Rhinolophus ferrumequinum: one gene and its partner. The protein of the gene in region 1 interacts with the protein of each later gene in a biochemical or structural test. Links are inferred from orthologs where the notes say so. Each region holds a gene or a part of one and is shown on either strand. Other genes may lie near its edges.

Region 1 (10,235 bases):
ATGAATATGGGTCAAAACACCTATTGTATGCCTGGCACTGTATTAAGCCCCTACGGGTGTTTTTATTTGTTTTTGAGTGATTCTTTTTCGAAGTGGGAGCGGGGAAGATACTAATTAACTGAATAGAAGGCACAATCTAATTGGAAAACTACCATGTGTTCTATTAGAAAATTAACACCTGTTCATACACACAGCTACGGAGCAACTCAAACCATACACACAAATGCTGAAGGAACACAATTTCTTAAAATTTTCAACAAATGGGCTTCATGACCTTCATGAAGTTCATTAAAAGGGCAGAAGGAAAATTCAACCTAAACGAAAGGCACCACAATCCTGTTATATCTCCAGGTTGGCACTGACCTCAAAGGGCATGTGGGCCAAAGGGCATGTTCAATAAACGGAACTCTTTTCCACATGGAATAAATCTGACCCTTCCTCTAGGAAACCAATTCTACGTTTTCCTCTTGCAATTTGTGGGAATAATCCATTTCTTTTGTTCCTGTCAGGAGCGGTGCCTGATACTAGAAACCACGTAAAAGCCACACCGTTCTATGATGGGTGTGTGCAGACCAAGTCCGGTTGGAGTTAGGGATGGACACACAGTCATGGACTGTCACTCATCCAAAAAACAGCAAAGCCAACAAACCTCTCCCCCAAATTGTCCAAAGGCGAATCCCAAAGAGTCAAGCCAGGTCATTGCAGAAAACCAACCAGAAGCAAATAAATGTCTGTCAAGGAATTGATTAGCTTCAATATTCACTCTGGACTGGGCACCGGGAGGGACGTTTATTTTATTAATATTTATTCGTTCAGAGGAAGGGTTTGGAGAGGGGAAAACGGATTAACAATTCTTATGTGGTAAACATAAGCAGCATCACAAAACGAAAAATAATCCCTTAATTAATTATGACAGGAAAGGCATTTCTCGTTCTTTCGGAGGACGGGTCACATGGAGGGAAAGGGATCTGATAAAAATTCAAAGCCCTCCTGCTGAGCCTGAGCGCGCACGTAGGCCTGGCAGTCGCTGTCTCAGGTGCCGTCCTCCATCCCAACTCGCACCAGCCCAAGACCCGGGCTTGGAGTTAGAGGTTCCTGTGCGCCGAAGGCCAAGTGGGGTCTCCCGGGATGTAAAAGTGCCCCGACCTGCTGGGGATTCCGAGACAGGACGTTTCCGGCTGGCTCAGCGCTCCACAGTCGGAGCGTGTGCACAGACGCTGCATCCCTCCACATCTTGGGGGGTTGTCGTTTAGTTACAGCGCGCGCAGAGCCAGGGATGGAGTTTCCTGATCGGGTATGAAGGACCATTCTCTGGCCGCCGGGATTCCTCCATTCACAGCCCCCAGACCTTGCAAACCCGAGAACTCCACCAAGCCACCTACAGATCCCAAAATGGAGCGAAATCGCAAACGCGTGCACGGCGCTTTGTTCCAGGTATTGGGCTAAATGCGCTCGCCCCCGCCGGGTTCCCTTTCCCCCAAGCGACAGGAGGTGACACCCGCCTGTGGTCTGCCCCAGGCCGCGGGCTCCCAGTTCCATGGCCGCCCCTCGCCCCTCACTCTGTCTGGAACCAGAATCCCATGTTCAGCTCGGGAGGAGGGTGGCTAGAGGGGAAAAGATGCTGGAATCGACCCTTGAGCCTGTCCAGCAACCTGCCGGTGGCGAGCCCAGCTCTGCGGAGGCGGGGAGTGGGGCGGGAAGGGAGGGGAGAGCAGAGCCGCGGCTCTGACCTGACAGCCACAGCCGGGAAGGTTTGGCCAGGCCCGGGGGAAGACTCTCGACTCCGAGCCGAGCCATTCCCCGGATATTCAGATCAATCTGCGCGGCTTGCGTGGATGATTCGGCCCCTAAAATGCTCGTCCCTCTCAGAACAGCGCCCTCGCGCCAGTTTTCAGCGATGTAATTAACCAGAAAGACGCGCGGACCCGGGCCGTTACAGAAGGGCAAGGCTCGGCCTTGTTCGCCAGGGGTCGGTACCCCACTCCTCTCCCCTCGTTCCCTTTTCCAAGGGCCGCAGTGAATTCGGGTTCCTAAGTGATAAGTGATATTCGGCCACAAGAATAATAATACACCAGGGACGCCTGTCTGGGAGCCGATGGCCGCGGGAAGCCAATTAGGAAGAGCCAACGGCTCCAGTTTGTGGGTTTCCCTACGGAGCCCCCAGAGGGGGCACGGCTCTTGGTACCCGGGAGTTCTAATTCTCCGATCGGAAGGGGCGGGGCAACGCCCCAAAGGCTGTTCTCAAGACGCGTGTTGTTTCCAAGGCAACACCTCCCCTAACGACCCCCTCCCAGTCGGCTCCGGAAAAATGGGTGTGGCCCGCAGCAACCGGGGAAACCTCTTGCCCCCTCCTCACTTTCTCCCGCCTGGCCAGGCAACAGGGAGTGAAGCGGGGAGGGGATCCCGCTTGCGTGCCCCCTCCTACCGCCCCCTCGGGTGCCCCTCCGGGGGCAGCCTGGTGGGGTATGGGACCCAGGACACTCGGGGCATGGGGAGGGGCGTTGTCCCTCCGCTGACACCCGCACAGCGCAAGGAGACCCGGAATCCCACCCCTGCGGCCCCGCGGATGCTTCCTGGCGGGCGGCCTGGCTCTGATAGTGGGCCGGGCAGGGTCAAGCCGGTTCCACGCGTACCTCCGAGGCCGTGACTCGAGTTCATCGACTCCAGCAAGCCCCGAAATCTAACAAAGGGCTCAGAAATGAGGGGCGAAACACGGGAGAAGGGGCGGGGGGGGCCTTGGTTAAACACCCTTATAAAATAAAAGGCAAAAACCCAGGCTGGCAACGCTGATCACGTTAGCCCTACAAACAAAGCAGCGAGCCACCAGGAAAATCTCGAGGGAACGCCCCCAAAGCTCAAGCCCTCAGCAGCAAAACGCCACGATTTCAGCGCTGAATGCACCCTCCACCCACCCTTAATGACAGTCCCCGCCTTGCCCTTCGAAGCCCGGCCACCCGGCTTGGTGTGGTACCGTAAAGACATGGCACGCCGCAAAAAGATGGCACCTCGCGATCGGAGGGGGAAAAAAAGCGGGGGTGGGAGTGGGAGGAGGCACAGCCTACCCTCCCCCTCCTCGCCCACCCGGGTCCACACCCACTGCCGCAGTGAGGGGCGAGCCCTGCGCGCCAGCCCCGCGCCTCCGGCAGGGAGCGCACACGCCGGACGCCGGGCGCAGAGCGCAGAGAAAGGGGACCGCCCCGAAGTGCACCTGCAGCCTCTGTGCCGATCTGTGAGGGGCTGGGGCTGTGAGCGCCCGCGAGGCAGGATCCGCGGGGCCGAGTCCCTCCACAGAGCAAGGCCAGGTGACCCCTGTCTTTCGAGCCTCCACATCTCTCCGCGCACTGCCTTCTCTCGGGCACAGCGCTGCTCGCGTCTCGGTGCCAGGCGCGCGCAGGGGGAAGGGCAACTAAAGTGACAGCGCCTGGACCCCTCCCCAACTCCCCGATTCCACTCCCAGCCCCCAAATGTCCCCTGCGGGTTTCTGAAGGAGGAAAACGGGGAGGGAGGTGGGCCACCGCCTTAAATCAGGGACAGCGAAAAGCCCCATTGGAATTGCTGCCGAGGAGGTGAAGGGAGGGGCAGGCAGGGAGTCATCTTTTCTAGAACCCAATCCATACCTTCCTTAGGGCTGATGGCAAACCGAGACAGAGAAATCGGATTCCAGATCGATTTCGGGGGTCGTCATTGGACGCCCCCGGACACACACTTAGACACACGCCCATTGCGGCAAAAGGCGGCGATTGAGAGTGTATAGCAGCCCCCTCCCCCAGGTCACCGCCACCCGCGCCCCACCCTGCGGGCACCTCTGCCCGGGTCCGCGCGAAGCGGGTCTTGTGGAACCCCAGCACACACACGCACACACACACACATACACACTCACACGCGTGTGTGCATCTCTTGCATGGGTGCGTTTCCAAGCCACCCCAGGCCCAGCCCCGGAGCACCGAGGGCGCAAGGAGGGGCCCCCGCCGTTGCCCCCGACCAATGCTCACCTCAGGAAATCCATCTCTGAGGCAGGGGGCGAGGGGCGGCAACATGGGGGCGCAGGAGGCGGACGGGGAGGCACCTTTCGGAGCCTCGCGCTTACCTGATAGTCGACAGAGAGCGAGGGCAGAAGAGGAAAGCAGAGGATAAAGTGTCTGGTGGCGGCGGCAGAAGGTGGGCGGTGGCGGCGGTGCTGCTGCTGGTGCCGGAGCTGGTGGGTGACGGAGACTGCGAGCGCGCGCACCAGCGAGGGCGCGCTCCCGAGACCGGCGGGCGGCGCAGGCGCGAGCAGCGGGAACGCGAGTCTTCCCTGAGGAGGGGCGGGCGGCGAGGCCTCCGCAGGCGTCTTCTCCTCCGGCCACTAGTGGGCGCGCGCGAGCGCCTCACGGCTCGCTGTCCCCAGCCTCCTGGCTCGCTGCTCCCGGCGCTTCCCTTCCCTGTCTTTCCTCCCCCCACGACTCGGGCCGCGGCACGGACTGCCACGCGCACGCGCGCTCCGTGGCGCACGCGTGCTCTGGGTCACCTCTGGCGGCTGGACCCTTTGTCTGGTCTGAAGGGTCTTCTCCCTCGGGAGGGAGGCTTGGTTTCCTACTGTGGTTGGAAGAGGCTGCGGTGCTCCGCTTCCAGATCTGCTGCCCTTTTCCTTTTTGTCCCGGGAGTGATGTCCTATCTCAGAACGTCCTGGGCGGGTTTCCACATGACCGCTCCCCAGAGGGTCCACCCCAGTCCTCCAAGTTTGGCCGGCTTATCGCTACCGGGCACCCTGACCCTCCTTTGAGTCTCCGGAAATGGTCCCCCTTGTTGGAGATCAGTTTCCCTGGGCCTGCTTCCTTTCAACCTGCTTTTTTTCCATCTTTTTTGTTATTGATCAAGGTGAATGCTTTCCTTCGCCAATCCTCATCAAACAGGCTAATTCAGTTGTAAGAGTAGTGTTGTGGTGTTTTTTTTTTTTAACAAGGACCATTTCCATCTATTTTTTAACGGTGTCCGAGAATAAAATCTTAGACAAAGGTCCAAATGGCGGCGCTAATCACATTGCAAAGCATTTTCACACATACAGTTATTTTGATCTTGTTTCTTGACACACGGTTATACTGTAAGTAGAGTTTGAGATCGGAAGTGCTAAGTGCTCATGGAGATTCTCACCTAGATAACACACTGAAACTGACCAGAAGTTTTCATTCTCCTGGTCACCCAGTTCCCAGCATTGGCCTGTGAAGAAAGAGATGACATGCCCAAAATGGAGTCACTTGTGCTATGCCACTTCACCAAAACGAAAACTATTAATAAATACCTCATTGCAGTTTCAGCCTCTCCCAGGAGTGGAATTTTAAACCACCAATCAGTCTGGAATTTCCTGATCAACACTAGTGAGAGGTAATCTGCCTAATAAGACCCTTTCCGCCCTTCCCTCAAAGAAAAGTGCCCTTGGCTGAAAAGATCCTTTCTTTCCTTTTGGTAATAACTTTCTTGTCCTGCCCACTGCCAGCCTATAAAAACCTACCAACTTCTCAGGGCTCCTTTCTACTTGGCTGGATGGGATGCTGCCTGATGTATGCATTGCTCAAGAAAGCCAATTAGATCTTTAAAATCTACTCCATTGAATTTGGTTCTTGAACGGATCTTAGCTTGGTCTCCCCAACATCTAATGTAAGCCCTGGCAGTGGGAGGCTTTATAAGTATGGGAGTTTGGTGGGGGGCATCTTGTCCTAGGGAGATGGGAACTTGTTTTGAAGCTTTAATTTGCATGGCTCTTACATTTATATTTTTTAAATCAATATTTTTTGTTATAGATTAATACAAAAAGCAGGCTATTAAAAATTTTTTATTGACGGGGAAGCACTGGGTGGATGCTAGAGATGGGGCACATTTCTTAAACGACTCGTTCTGAATCTCTGGTGACCTTTTTGTTGTCCCAACTCTCATGGTCCTCGTTAAAGACTCTTACCTTGGCACTGGACATGTAGTGACCTTACCGGTCTCCCTGCTCTCTGTTTCTCCCTGTATCAGCCCACCTTGAACCCCCTAATCAGACAAATCTTCAGAAGCAATCGTTTTAATCACGACACTCTCTTGCTCAAAAATATCTAAAGGCTTCTAACTGACCCCTAAGTGAAGTGAAACTTCTTAGCCTTAAATTCCTCAGCATTCAAACCCTCTGTCCCTCCCCACCCCCTCATCTGAGCCCCTGTCCTCTCCAGTTTTCTCTTTCATCTACTCTATGACCAACTTAGCTTGTTTGATTGGAACTCTTCCCCACCTCAACTCGGGGGTTTTCCTCTGCTTACAAAGTCCTTGCTCTTTCTCCATGCACCAAATATCCTATTTAACCTTCAAACCCTCGCTCAAATGTTCTAAAGCCTTGTAATCACCCCAGCTGGAAGGGATATCTCCTCTAGGAAGGCTTAGCAAAGTTACTCATCTCTGAAGTGAAGGGGAGAGAGGAATTAATATCAGTCTTGCAAGACTGCAGCTTCATTATTGCTGCCAATTGTGTCCTTTCTCCTTTTCCTGTATGGGGATTATCTGTCCTTTCCTGTTACCCTGTGATCTGTACTGCTCCCACTCTCCACTCCCAGACCACTCATATTTGGTCTGGCCACGTGGTGGTCTGTGGCAACTAGAACTAAGGGGCATGATGTAGACATGTCCAACGAAAAGCTTTAAGAGGCATTGTGAGTTTCTACCACTTTTACTTGTCCCCTGCACCACCGCGATGGTCCCCTCCACCACCAGAATGGCATGCCCTGTGGGGCTGCTCCTTCAGCATAGGTCCCAGAATGAACAGACACAAGGAAGTACATATAACATGTATAGTAACATGAGCAAGAAATAGACATTTACAGGGTGAGTCACTGAGATTCTGAGGGATGTTTGTTATCACAGCAAAACTACAGTTTAATCCCCATTATATATATTATATATATATTAAACTGTATGTATATATATATATTTTATACACAGTATGTGTGTGTAAAGTTTCTCATGTAAAGTACCTGACAAATAGTGGACATCCATTAAATGATAACTAGCAGTTATTTCAGCATCCCCATCAGTGCTTTGGCTATACATTCTTTCTATATGTAAAATAAACTGTAGCAGTCAAATTAACACTCCTCCCATTCAATTTTCTCGTTTTCTTTCCTTTAAGAACTGACTGGGACCCGATAACACAGTGATCTCCTGATACTGAATGAACACATTTGCCTACATTCAATTGAGGTAATGAATGCTAGAAACCATCTTAAGCAGATCCATCATTTAACTGTATGTAATGTGGAGCTGAGTGTTCATTCCAGATAATTTAATCACTGGAGGTAGCTAATGGCTCTCTAGGTCAAGAAAATGCATCCTCTCCCTTTCTCCCTGCCCCTCCCTCTTGCTGAAATAGAGATCTGGCCAATTCAGCACGCAAGGCCCATCACAAAGAAGCATAGAAGGTAGAATCGCACAGGGAAAGAGAACTGGATTAGGTTTCAAAAGAGTTGGGTCCCAATCTTAGCTGTGCTGTGTGATCTTTGACAAATTCATTAACTTCTCTGGGCTCCCATTTTTTTATGTAGCAGTGTCCCAGGTAGGATTGGAACTAAGAGTCCGATACCTATAGAATTTATAAAAGTCCAAACAGGAAAAGAATACATGGATCTAGGAACCAAGGAGTGGAAGCTGAAGTGGTCCCACTTCCCAACATTCCCAGGTGACCCCAGGGGGGAATCTGAGCTTCCCATCCTCACTAGTGTAGGCTCTGCAGGGATAGAGGTCCCCCAAAGGGGAAGCTTCCACCAGGGGACACAGCAAAGGTTTCACTGAACTATAAGCGATGGCTGCTGCCTGAGCACTTTGGGTCCAGAGAGCAGCAGGCAAGAACAGAAGGTACTGTCCTGGCAGGAATAACCGACTTCAATCATCCGCAGGAAGTAGGACTGCTACCAAAACACGGGGAGGATACATTTGTCACTTGGGCACCTCTTGGTATTCCCTTTTGTTAAAAGACAGAAACGTCCACCCTAGCCTGAGAAAGTGTTTTAGTTTCCTGTTGTTGTTGTAACAATGACCCCAAACTTAGTGACTTAAAACAAAGTAAACTCCTTGCCTTCCAATTCTGGAAGTCAGAAGTCCAAAATGAGTCTCATCAAGCAAACCTCATGGGGTGTTGGCAGGACTGCCGTCCTCTTGGAGGTGCAGAGGAAGAGTCTGTTTCCTTGGCTTTTCCAGCTTCTGGGTGCTGCCCTGTTCCTTGGTGGGTGGTCCCCAGCCAGCAATCACATCCCTCCAACCTCTGCTTCTGTTGTCACATCTTCTCTGACTGGGACACTCCTGCCTCCCTGTTTCACTTACAATCCTTGTGATTATACTGGGCCCACCCAAATAATCCAGGATAATCTCCTCATTTCAAGATTCTTAATTTCATCACAGCTTCAAATCCATTTTGCCATATAAGGTAATTTATTCATATGTTCCAAGGGTCAGGACATGAGCATCTTTGATCAGGGCATTACTCTGCTTACCACAGAAGGACATGGTGACTATGGCACCGACCCCTCAGGGAAGAAGATGTCTACGGTAACCCCATATCTAATGGCTGACCGACCCAGGTGGGCAGATAAATGTTCAACCTGGGGCAACTCTGATGGTCCATTTTGGGTTCTGAGATCCCCAGGTGGTTCGCTGAGGCTGGTTGGGCCTGTATCACAGCTTGACTTCTCCTTTTGCACAATCCTGCTTCCTTCCTCTCCCTTCCACAGCTATCGATCCCAAGGGTACTGCCTAAATATCTCGCATGCTGGACTCTGTCTCAGAATCTGCTTCCCAGAGAACCTTGCCTGCATCTTCATGAATGCATTAAATAATAAAATCTAGCAGTGGGTTTAATTACTTTCCCAATTTCAAATAGGGGTAAGTATAAATGACATTTTGAAATATCTCTGACACATGTACCGTGCAAAGAAAATATCTATTAGTGATGAAGTCACAGATACTGTTAATACTACATTGATTACTGAAATGCTAAATTCCAATACAGGTTATAAAAATAAAGGTGAACTTTTTTGTCTCCAAGTTTCTGGACCCTCAGGTTAACAGCCTTTATCTTCTTTTTCTATGTAGTGAGGATTTAATAAGTCCATTAAATTGAATGAAATAAAGGTTACAATGAGGTGAAATGAGCATTTCCTTAATTCTGGGTCAATTCGTTTTATATTCAGTTCTGTGTGACAAAAATGCGAAGCAGCTGTGGTCTAAACAAGACTCAATTGTATTTCTCCAGGAATAGGAGTCAAGGGCTGTTTTAGAAACTCTAAGACCTTCTTGGAGCCCATATCTGTTTATTTCATTTCTGTATCATCCTTCGCTTGCTGTCTCATTAGTCCAAAGTGGCTGCTTCAGCTCCAGACAACACATCCCCAGAAATAAGGAAGAGATAAAAAAGGGAGCATCTCTATCTTTTAAGGACAATTCCTATAAATCACACTTGTTACTCTTGCTAACACCCTATTGGCCAGAATATGTGCATGGCTACACATTGTTGCCACCGAGGCTGGGAAATGTAGTCTTTATTACAGAGGGCCTTGTGATCAGCTACTTGTAAATACCAGATACAGGGGGAGAAGGAGATGTGGAGTATTAGCCACAATTATGCTAAGAAGCCATCTCCCTTAGCAGTTCCTCCTAGCTATGCACGAGCAGCACATTCTTTCCCTTTGAAATATTTTCCTGAAAATACTTTTCATGATAAGGCATTTTCTAGTGAGACAGATGACAGCCTTGAAGACCAACATTTCTTTATTTTCAGTTACAAAGTCAGAGATCCAGATTCCCAGCCTGTTTAGACAGCCCCAAATGTATTTGTTTTGCCTAATTGTGGGCTAGGTATGGTGCTTTGATGAGACACCTACTGTCCTCTCTCAAAGCCAACATAGAGAAATACCAATATAATGCAATTAAATTAGGAAGTGAGTATTAACATTACAGACAAATGCTTTGCTAGACAAAAGGAACCATCACCAGGTTTCCTTAAATGTCAGTTACCCTGTTACAACTGAAATGTGAGTTGATTTACATGCAAGTTTATAAACACCTTAATTATATAAAGTAAGACAGATCTATGCCTTAATTTCTCTAGACTTCTCTTTCATAATTATTCTTTAGGCTCAAGTGTTCCTTTCTGTCTTTATATTTCCTGAATGCCTCCTGCCTACCTCTCCTTCCCTCCATTGCCAGGGCAATGCCAACCCCCTTGTCTAGATTCCCTG
Region 2 (10,343 bases), on another chromosome or scaffold:
ACAGCTCAGAGTCCCCTTACCCACCATGCCACTGCCCTTCTTCTTAATGGTGTTCCCCAGACACAACACCAGGAGGGGTCCCTCTCATCAACCTTCCTCGTACACAAGGTGCTAGAGACCTACATGCAAGTCTAAGCACTGCCACCAGTGCCCTGAGCCAGTCATTCCACTAGCTCAAGCCTCGGTCTGCTCATCTGTGAGATGGATGAGTAAGCCCTCTGCCATGCTCAGGGATGAGCTCATGGATGGAGAAGGGCCTTGCCGGCCCCAAAGTGCTATGAATGTGAGAGGTTATGAGAAGCAAAATAAAAGTACAATACCCGTCTTTGATGCCCAGGTGCCTTCTCTCTCCAGTGTTACAACATCAATCCTCCTAATAGCTCGGCCAGGGAAGGGCCATGTTGCTAAACATATTTTTCAGATATTAGAGTTTTTGTCTCCAGAGGGAACCTAAGCACCCAGGACCCTGGACACCCCCAGGGCAGGGTGCTGCCTCTGGGCCCCATGGTTGTCCCCCGATCAGCCCAGCCCAAGCCCAGTTCACAATACAAAGCCGCAGAGGTTAGAAGCCAGCTCTCTGCTCTCCCTCTCCCCTGAAATCCCTCCCCCAGTCCCAACACCACCCTTGAGTCAATTTCAGACCTGTTTCTAGAGAGAAAAGAATGGGTTGCGCTAGCTCTCCAGTCGCCCTCCTCCCCTCCCTCCCTCCGTCTCCTTCTCTCAAGTAATATTCTCCTTCAGAGGCCCTTTCTGTACAGCCTGGTGATTACACAGGCTGCAGGGCAATTCTCGGCCTCCCTAACCTCTCCTGGGAGTGGGATCCAAAGCCCAGAGAATGTCAGCGGCTGGAGGAGGCATTGTCCTTCTCCACCTCCTGGAACCTGACCCCTTTCCCTGAGGCTGGTCTTCTTTAGAGAAAACCCATCTGCCAAGAGCTCTGGTCCAGCTGCCCAGGCCCACTCTGACACTGAGCTGGTATCTTTGCTGCAGCCTGCCTCCCAACAAGCTTCTCTGCTCCTAAGGGCTGGGTTTTCATTTCTCTCATCCCCTGGGAGGAAAGAGGATTGGGGTCAAGGGAGGAAAGAGTGAGTTACGCTCTGAGACCTAAGTGACAGCCCCACCTCAACCCTCTAGGGGACCTGGAATCAAGTCCTAGCTGATCTGAATCAGATGCTGCAGTGGGACCTTCCTCCCGTAGTATCAAGAGGCCTCAGAAGCCCCTGCCCAGGGCTCTGACTCCAGCCCACACACCCCCAAATGGCTGCCCACCAGGCAGGAGAGAGGCAGCTTCTCTTACATCCAGAGCCAGCCCTCCCCCCGGGCTACTCGAAGCAAAGGCTGCAGTCACAAGCCAGGCCTCACAGGGCTGAGCTCCAGGAAGCCCTCGAGAGACACGTGCCCTCCCGTCCAGCTGGGCCGTCCAGGGCCCTGCAGAAGGAGGGCCAAGGCTCCCATGTCTTCTTGTAGAGCCCACCCAGCTGCCTCTGCCAATCACCCTGCCAGTCATCTGAAGTGGGCTTTTGGAACGGGGGCTCAGCTTCTGTGTGGTGACTGCAATGTCCTGGCTTGCAGGGACCGTGGTCACCAGTTGAAGGCTGGGCCCTGCAGGTATCTTTGGTGCTTCTCCAGACAGAAGAAGAGCTGTTGCCTCCCTGCCAGCCCAGGGGAGGCAGGGTTTGGTCAGCCCCTCTCCCAAGCCAGGCAAAGTCCAGCCCTGGGAAGCGATCCTTTCTCAAAAGCTGTGTGGCAGGTTTGTTACCACATCTTCCCGGGCTCCATCTCATCTCATTCCCACAGCCCTTTTTTATCTGCAGATGACGGGGGGTTGGGAGAGAGGTGCCATAGCCTTCCCAATGTCACAGAGCTATGGGTGGTAAAGTCTAGAGCCTGTGCCCTCTTCCGAGTACTGCCCATACCTGCCCCACTGGGCACTTGGACTGAAGCTGCTGTGCAGAGCAGGCGACACCCCCCTCCTCAGTGGTACCCTGGCCTTTTGACCCAGGCATCAGAGGTGTGGAGCCTCGTCCCCTTTATTCCAATACAAGCATCCTTAACCTGAGGCCCACCCACAGCCTTCCTGATGTCCTGACATCGCATGCAGCATTTTGTAGTTTTGCGCATTTTCCTGAGGAATGTAGACTTAGCCTTTCATCAGATTCCTGGAGGAATATGTGACCTAAAAAAGGTTAAAAGCACAGATGGTTCTGGAAGGAAGAGGTCTGAAATTGATCAGACAGGTCTGGCCATGCCTGCCACCTGCGGTTTTCCTGCCATGGCCATACCAGGACTCCCTGTCTCCTGAAGTGCTGCTGTGGCCCCTGTCCCTCCAAGGACCCTGGCAGGTAGTGGGGCTGAGGAAGCGCTCTGCCAAATCACCCCCACAGCACCCAGCCTTCAGGATCCCCGTCTCCTCTTGGGGCAAAACATCACTTTCCTTTTCACTTTGAGCACCTGAGTCACATCTCAACTCCATTCCACTGCACTCTGTGACGCATCCCTCCCAGAACCCAGCCTGGATTGCACCTTGAAAGGCAGCTCCCAGCTCATCAGGGAATCCTTGGGGCTCCAGTGGGCACAGGAAACCAGCTGAGAAGGGGGTCCCTGTACATGTCTGATGGACAGCCTCGGTCCTCCAGAGCGTCCCTCCACATTTTCTCCCTGCTCCCCCTACCCCCAGCACAAAAACACGCTCAGAAAGAAATCTGCAGACCAGAGTGAGCACACATCGGCTGCACCTGGGTGTGTGTCTGTATGAGGGAACGAGGGAGCTGGCCTGTAGGTGTCGGATTGCCTGGTGTGCAAGTGTGTGTGTGTGTGTGTGTGTGTGTGTGTGTGTGTGTGTGCAGGCAGCCTGCTTCCATACAGCCACAGGCCCACCTCCCACACATATGCAGACACCAGCCTGAGCTCACACATGCCTACAACACCCACACTCCCACCCAAGCCTGTGGGCCCAGGCCTCACGCGTACGCACATAACACTTCCCGTGTGCACGGCCCTGAGTCCTCACCCAGATGTGCATGTCTGTGACCTCATAGGAGCAGCACTGTGCCCACGTCCCAGATGTGCATCCTTACACAGACATGTCTGCACATGCCCACACCTCACCCACGTCAGCCTGCTGATGGACACACAGCTCTGACCTGCCATACGTGGGCACACAGTGACGCATGTTCACACCTTCACTCGCGTGCAAACCAGCCAACAGCGGCCCTTGTGCCCCTTGCATACAACACCCCCCCCTTGCAGGGCACACTTGCATTCTCAGGCCTTACACATGAAGCACACACCAGCACACCCTCTTGGTGCACACACATGCACACCCTGTCAGCACACACAAGTGTACCCCAGAGACAGTCCTTATACAACACACATCAAATGCACACTTGCGTATGTCCAGATCTCACACCAGCACACCCCTACTTACAGGGCCCCTTTCCCCTGCACTCCTGCTGCTACAGCAAGAACCACCCAGACATTGGAGCTGCTTTGCCCACAGGGCAAACTCTGCCTCCAAGCTGCACCTTTCCCCTGGATCCATCCCCAGATCCTCCACAAACCCTGCCGGAGGCATCCAGCAATGCTTCTGACACTCCACAGCCTGCTGGACTATCCCAAGGGGCTCTCCTCTCCCTCCATCCTCCCACCCATCTCTCCACACCAGTCATGAAAGGCAGAAAATGAGCTTTGGGGCTGGACAACTTTGCCAAGGGCCCAGAGCTGGGGTACCATCACACCACTAACCCCTGCAACAGCAGTGCTCCCCCCAACTTGTCTGATTGCTCTTCCCCTCCTCCCAACACCCAGAAAGCCTCACCAGTCACTCAGTTATTAACCCCTGCAGTACCAATGCCCTCACTTCTAGAGGAGCTGGGAGGGGGAAAGTGGGGAAAGGATGTGCTCACAGGGAGAAGTTGGCCACTCTGCAGAGTCGCTGCAGGTCTCTAAAGTCATGAAGGACTACCTGAGGTGGTAAACTCTCTGTCACCACAGGTATCCAAGTTGAGGCCAGATGGCCACCTCATGAGAAGCTCGACAGGGGGTTCCAGCCTTGGATGCAGCTAACAGGAAAATCCCTTTCTAACCCTGAGTTTCTAAGAATCTGTGTTTGCCCAGGTCGTGTGCGTATGTGTGTGTGTGTGTGTGTGTGTGTGTGTGCACTCCCTGGCATGCACCATCAACCCTTCACCCCTACACACACATTCGTCCAGCTGGCCTTGGCACATCTGTGTACCCGGAAATATGCCCATGGCTCCCTCTGGGCACTCTGCACATACAAGTGCTCCCAAACACATGCAGCCTTCCTCCCTGTTTGAGCACAGGAAGCACCGCATGTGTACATCCCTGCCCGTGGCACCAATCCCCTGTGCCCTCCAGGACTCTGGGGTGCAACTCACTTTCCCAGTTCCTCGAAGAGCTGGTACTCTTCCGTGAAGCGAGTGCAGGTGATGGTAGCCATCCTGGCGCTGGGCGGGCAGGCGAGGCTTGGGGTGGAGGACCAGGGCTGGGGTACTGCTGTTCTGCTCCCGGAACTAGGGGCCACTCGCCTGCCTGCCCGTGCTTCCGAGTGAGAACCTAGAACCGGCTTGACTGACGAGCCCCAGGCTTCTGAGCAGGGCACTGTGGCTGCTCACAGCCTCGCGAGCCTTCGTCAGCATCCAGGTCCCCATGGCAACCACCTCCGAAACGCCCTGTTCCCGTTGCCCCGGTAACTGCCTCCCCAACACCTGCCTGCCTTCCAGTATGAAACCTGCTCCAGGACGCCCTGGCCCAACCGCACACAATACTGCAGGCCAGTGTGGGCCCAGAGGCAGGTGGACCCAGCACCCCCACCCCCACCCCCGAGGTGAGGGACCGGGGGAGGGGCTGTAGCAGGGGGAGGAGAACAAACTTAGTGCACAAGTGATCTCTGTTCCCACCTCCCCCACCTCCAACTGTGGGGCCTTCATAGCAGACAGGATGGGATTAAGTGGGGCAAAAAGGCAGTTGCCATGGTAACAGTGGATGCCACAGTCCGGGATGGTCCCCAGGAAAGACAGGATGCAGTTACCCTGGCAACTTCATCTCTGGAGAGACAGGTATTGCCCCGTTGTCTTGGCAACAGCCGGATTCTAAGGTTTACAGGGAAACGGTGGCTAATTCTTTGGGATCTCTCTCTGGATCACCATAGTCTCTGTAACTGTCTCTCTGCTTCCCTCTGCATTTATTTTTTTTCCTCTGCCTGTCTTTCTCATTTCACTCTTGCTCTCTCTGCACTTTGACACCTTGGCCATCACACTGGCACTCTAACTTGGGGAGGAAGTGCAGAGGAGAGGAGACACTAGGATTCTGGAGGGAACAGCCCTGGCTACCCGCTCACCCTCACCCCTCACAGCTGTAACAGTTGATCCCCTCCTGAGGCCTCTTCCATAACCTCTCCCCCATGCCATGCCCCCAGAGGGACCATGGAGATCCAGTCTCCTGGGGCTCATGTCCCAGATTCTGCTTGTGCTTCAAGTCAAGGTGAAAGAGGTGGAGGAGGCAGTGGGGAGGGGAGCATGGCCTGGCATGGAGGGGCGTGGCCATGGAGCTCTCCTGAAATCCTCATTCCCAAATTGTGTGGTTACTTTCCCAGCCGACTTAAGCTCTTCAGGGCAATAGCCATATCTGTGGCCCCAAAATCTTACCCCGAGTCCTGGGGGGTTAAGGAAGAAGGAGACTGGAGTTTAAGGACCTGAGTTCAATTCCACATCCAACACTTATTAGCTGTGTGACCCTGGGTAAGTCACTGCCCCTCTCTGAGCTCCCAGCTCCTTTTCTACATAAGAGAACAAAGCTGCGACTGCAGAGGAAGGCTGTGAAGATGGAGTGGATTAATGACTGTGGAGGCCTCCTTTTAGTCTCTAAAAGAGGAAAGGGGACTGTCTAAAGCAGGACCATGGCCGCCTGCATCCCTCCAACTTGGACTTAGAATCTCAGACCCTTCACACCCTCCTCCTCCACTCAAGGGCACTTCACAGCCCACCAGGCTGAGGTCTCATGCCAGCATTTGCCCACAATGAGCACAGGTCAAATAACGGGATCCAAACCCTCTGGGTTCCTAGCCCACCTCCTCTGAACCTCCAAATTGCCTTCCTGGTCACTTCCCTTGCTGGACACGGTGTCTGCTTGTTGGTAAGCCCCAAACCCAGCAGGTGCCTGGAGACATTGAATACCCCCTCCCCTGAATTCTGCCCTTCTTCCTGGGAGCCAGGGGTGGGAATAATGAGGTTGGCTCTCCGAGGCAGCCATTTCTTCCCAGGAGAGAAACGTGAGGAGGGCAGAAGGGAAGGGTGGGGAGGCGAACAAGGGAGGAAGGGTAATGGCTTAGCCACTAATTGCACCATTACCACCTTCAGTAAAAGGAAAAACCACTCAGTTTTGTTTTTTTTTCCTCTGCGCACAATATGCTTCCCGCTTCTGCCGCCAACGTTGCAATTCAGAGGCAAAGAAGAGAGGCCTGTGCTTGGGGCGCACAGCCAGTGGGCAGCAGGCAAAACAAGGAACATGTAGAGGCTAGAGGCGTAAAGTGGAGAAGTGGGGGAAGGGCTGTACCACCAGCTCCTGCCCCCAGACCCTCTAGCCCATCCCCAGGAGGGGATGGCTTCCAACATGAAAGTTCTGGAACAGCCCTTAATGACCCCTGAAGCCACCCAGTCATTGCCCGGGAGAGAGGGGAGGCAGTGTTGAGCAGTGGTTAGAGAGACTCCACAGCCTACAGGCTGTGCGATTTTGAATGAGTACCCTAAATTCTCTGTGCCTCTGTTTCTTCATCTGCAAAGGAGGTAGGAAATCATCAGTACCACGGGACTCAAACGGCCCTCCCCCTTCACACTGCTCTCTGCACCATGGAAGCACACACCATCTTCAAGTCCCAGCACTTTGAGGTGTCGTTCTCTGAGTCCCCACTGGAGTGGAGCTCAGGATTGGAACATCACCTTGTCCAAGCCTGGTTTGCAGCAATTCCTATAGAACAAAGGACTGAGGCAAGAGGTCACAAGGTCACAAGGCCTGAGGCTATATTAATGGGACTATAATGTTCTGAAAAAAGGAGGTCATAGTGCTACTTGGCTGGGTGCTGGCCTCACCACCCTGTTTCCTCCCCTTCACCTCCCATGAAATGGGGCATGTTAGGAAGAGAGCAGAGCACATGGGGGAGGTACCTCCATCATCACGGGAAGAGCCAGCGATGACTCAGAGGAGGATATAAAGGGACCGAGGCCTCGATGGCCAGCTTTCTCCCTGCCTGTGACAGCGACCATGGAGTTGACCTATGTGGCTTCAGGGTGCAGGGCCAGCCCAGCCCCACTCCACCCTTCACTGCTGTTCCCTTGTCCATCCGTTCTTCCCTACTTCCATCTCTCGTTTCAGCTCTCCTTTTTTCTTTATCTCACCTTTCCCCCATTTTCTTCCTTCCTTCCCTTGAGCCCTTCCTCCTCGGTGCTCCCTATCCTTCCCGTTCCGTTTCACCTCCTGTCTTGTTTCTGCCTCCCTTCTTCTGTCACTCTTCTTTTCCTCCCAGTGCTGGCCCATACCCTGTGCATTTGGTCCTGGCGGACGCACAGGACCCAGGCCGCAGGATCCTGATGGTGGAGAGATGGCTGGAGAGGAGCGATGGAGGGAGGGAGAGAAGGGAGACCAGGAAGGAACAGGTCTCCTCGGCAACTCTCCACACACACACACACACACACACACACACCCCTCCAAACCTTCAAGAGCTTAGTGCAGGGGTGTGGGCACTGCCTTGGACCGCACCCCCATTCTGAGTGTAACTGCCACCCTGCCAAGGAGGCACTGTTAATTCACTGCCTCCTCTTGTGCCTGAAAGGCTGGCAGCTGTGCCCAGTGGTAGCGGGCAGCGAGGAGCCGGCCCTGCCTCCATGGCTCTGAGAGAATGAGCCGATGCTTGCATCAGGAGGACTGTTCCTGCCAAACTCTCTCCTCCCCAGGGCCACTCCGCAGGCAGGCGAGCCAGCACGTGTGCCCCCATCTGCAACATGCGTGCGGTACTCAAGAGCAGACCTACATGCCACGGGCTGGTGGCCAGGGGTGGGAGCCCTCCAGGTCGCTGAGCACAGCTCTGACACTCTAGGATAGGGAACATGAAAGTGAATACCGGGTGTAAGCCATGAGGATGGGGAGGGACAAATGGGGACCGGGGCCACGGTGGAGGGGGCTGGGAGGAGATCAGAGCCTTAGTAGCATTGTGACAGCCAACTCAAATCCCTCCTTCCCCGGCCCATACACATGTTCACGTGCACATGCTCGAGTGCCTCAGGGTCCTGCAGGGCCTGGGCAGGCACCACAGAAAACGTGACATCCAAAGGGTCCCCGCGAGGCCTGTCCCACTAAGGGCAGTGAGCATAAGGGGCAGAATCGGTGGAAAGTGGGCCAAGAGAGAAATGATCCTGCAGAGGGTCTGGGCAGAGTGTGATTTGATTAATTCATTGCAGTAAATAATGCTAGACTTGTACTCAGAAGGCAGAGAAGTCAGGGGTCAGGGAGCAGCACTGTCCCCTGAGGCATCCCACGTAGGAGGCAATCATTGCAAGGAAGAGGGAAGCAGGGAGCCAAGAGGCAGAGGACAACGGCTACTATAGCAGCGTCTGCACAGCACAACCGACGGTCAGAGGACCCAAGATCAAGTCCTGCCATTGGCTGTGAGTGCCCATGGCACATCTTTTCCCCATTGGGGTCTCTACTTCCTCCTAAGAAATATGGGGACAAGATGTTCCTTCATGGACTCCAAGAACAGGAAAAATACTTATTTCCACTTTCAAGCCAGGCCCTGTGCTAAGCACTTACTGCACTATTTATACTTCACAAGGAACGTCTGTGAGACATATATGATCATTGCCCGTTTTGCAGAGACATGACGTGACTTATCCATCTGGGATCTGTGTGACTTCAGCACACTGCCCTGGATTCTTTGGCCTCCACTAGAGCTAGACGGACCCTGAGGGAGCCCATGTGCCCTACAGATGGGGGACCAAGGCCCAGGGAGAGAGGAAGCTGCCTTTCTGCAGTCACACAAGTTCAGGGACAGATCAGGACAATTCAGAACCCTAACTCCCAGAATAGTGCTCCTCTTCCCCTGCTCTGCCCTCCCTCTTTCTGACACCGCAGGACTGCTTCCCTAGGTCCCAAGGTAGCCAGTAAGCACTGAGTGAGAGGAGGAAATGGGGCCAACGCCCAGGGTGGGGCTCAGAGCTCTACCTCTCCAGCCATGTCTGGGGCTCTCTCCTGGCTCCTAGGGTACTGGTCATCCCTGCCCCGGATTCCATAGGCAGAGCCCAGCTCAAACAGGGCCACCCCCGGCTCAAACCCATCAGGCTGGCAGATCTGGTCCAGCCAAGGGAGAAACAAGGGGCTTATTTGGCATCTCTGGGCTCCAGTCCCCCAGATCTGTGACCCAAGGGGCCCCAGCTGCCTCTGGTCGCCCCTCCCTTGCATCCTTCCCCTCTACAGGTGGTATAAGCATCTGCCTGATGAAGCCAGTCAGGGGCCTGACACAGAGTACAGACCCAGGTGCCCTGACTTGGGGGAACGAGAGGCAGGTAGGGATGGCAGGTGCCATGCTGACTGCTGGACGGAGTAGAAGCCACAGCAAGTGGGCTGAGCCTTTCACCACAATGCCCGTAGTCCTGGTCACTCAACCAGGCCAGCTGCCAGGGCCCCGGTTAGGCAGGCTTGGGCTGCTGGGCTGTGGATCAGGTCTCAGGCTGAAGCTTGAATGGGGCTCCTGGGCTGTTTGCTGGGCTCTGGCTTAGGTGGGACTCAGCCAGGCAAGCTCTAGGCTGGGCTGGAGATTAGACTGAACCTTTCTCAGAAACAGGAGCAGGAGCCCACCACCTCTCCAGGTTTGAGGCCAGGTAGGCCACAGGGAGTGGGTCTTGGTGCCTGGGGGAGAATAGAAAGGGCTTTCTATGGTCCTGCACTTGTGGCCCCAAAAGTCCGGGGCACAAGAAGAGAAACAGGCCTGGAGCTGGAGGCTGGGTCATCTGGGGCAGGGCCTACTCAGCAGGTACAGGCAAGGACTCCACTCAACTGACGCAAGCCTGGAGCTGCAGGGGAGCCCCGCCACTCTGGGAGGGCACAGCCCACACAGTTGGGACAAGCCCCCCGGCAGAGCTAGAGAATCCTGGGTAAAGGGGAGACTGCAGACAACCCCTTTCTGGAGTATCCTGCGCCTGGGACACCATCCCAGTGGGTGACTTCTTCCGAGTCTCCCTCCTAAGCCAGCACGAGGGCTGGCTGAATCCAGAGGCCTCAGCCAGTCCTGCCCTCTGCCCACCACGGCCCCAGCAGCAACTTCCTGGAGAAAG

What was found. The genes of interacting proteins can lie anywhere in the genome.
Region 2: of the proteins of MAPT (region 1) and CAMK2A, one has a biochemical effect on the other in vitro, tested with the Homo sapiens proteins (2 studies listed by BioGRID). The link is inferred for Rhinolophus ferrumequinum from reciprocal best matches to the Homo sapiens genes MAPT and CAMK2A.

What each region holds. Positions count from the first base shown.
Region 1 is NC_046304.1:40,899,132-40,909,366, reverse strand, and holds the start of MAPT (microtubule-associated protein tau), read right to left. Parts: upstream 4,332-10,235; 5' UTR 4,088-4,331; intron 4,084-4,087; exon of another isoform or gene 3,993-4,083; intron 3,315-3,992; exon of another isoform or gene 3,209-3,314; intron 1-3,208. UniProt on the Homo sapiens protein: Promotes microtubule assembly and stability, and might be involved in the establishment and maintenance of neuronal polarity.
Region 2 is NC_046307.1:22,513,013-22,523,355, forward strand, and holds the start of CAMK2A (calcium/calmodulin-dependent protein kinase type II subunit alpha), read right to left. Parts: upstream 4,673-10,343; 5' UTR 4,460-4,672; coding exon 4,398-4,459; intron 1-4,397. UniProt on the Homo sapiens protein: Calcium/calmodulin-dependent protein kinase that functions autonomously after Ca(2+)/calmodulin-binding and autophosphorylation, and is involved in various processes, such as synaptic plasticity, neurotransmitter release and long-term potentiation.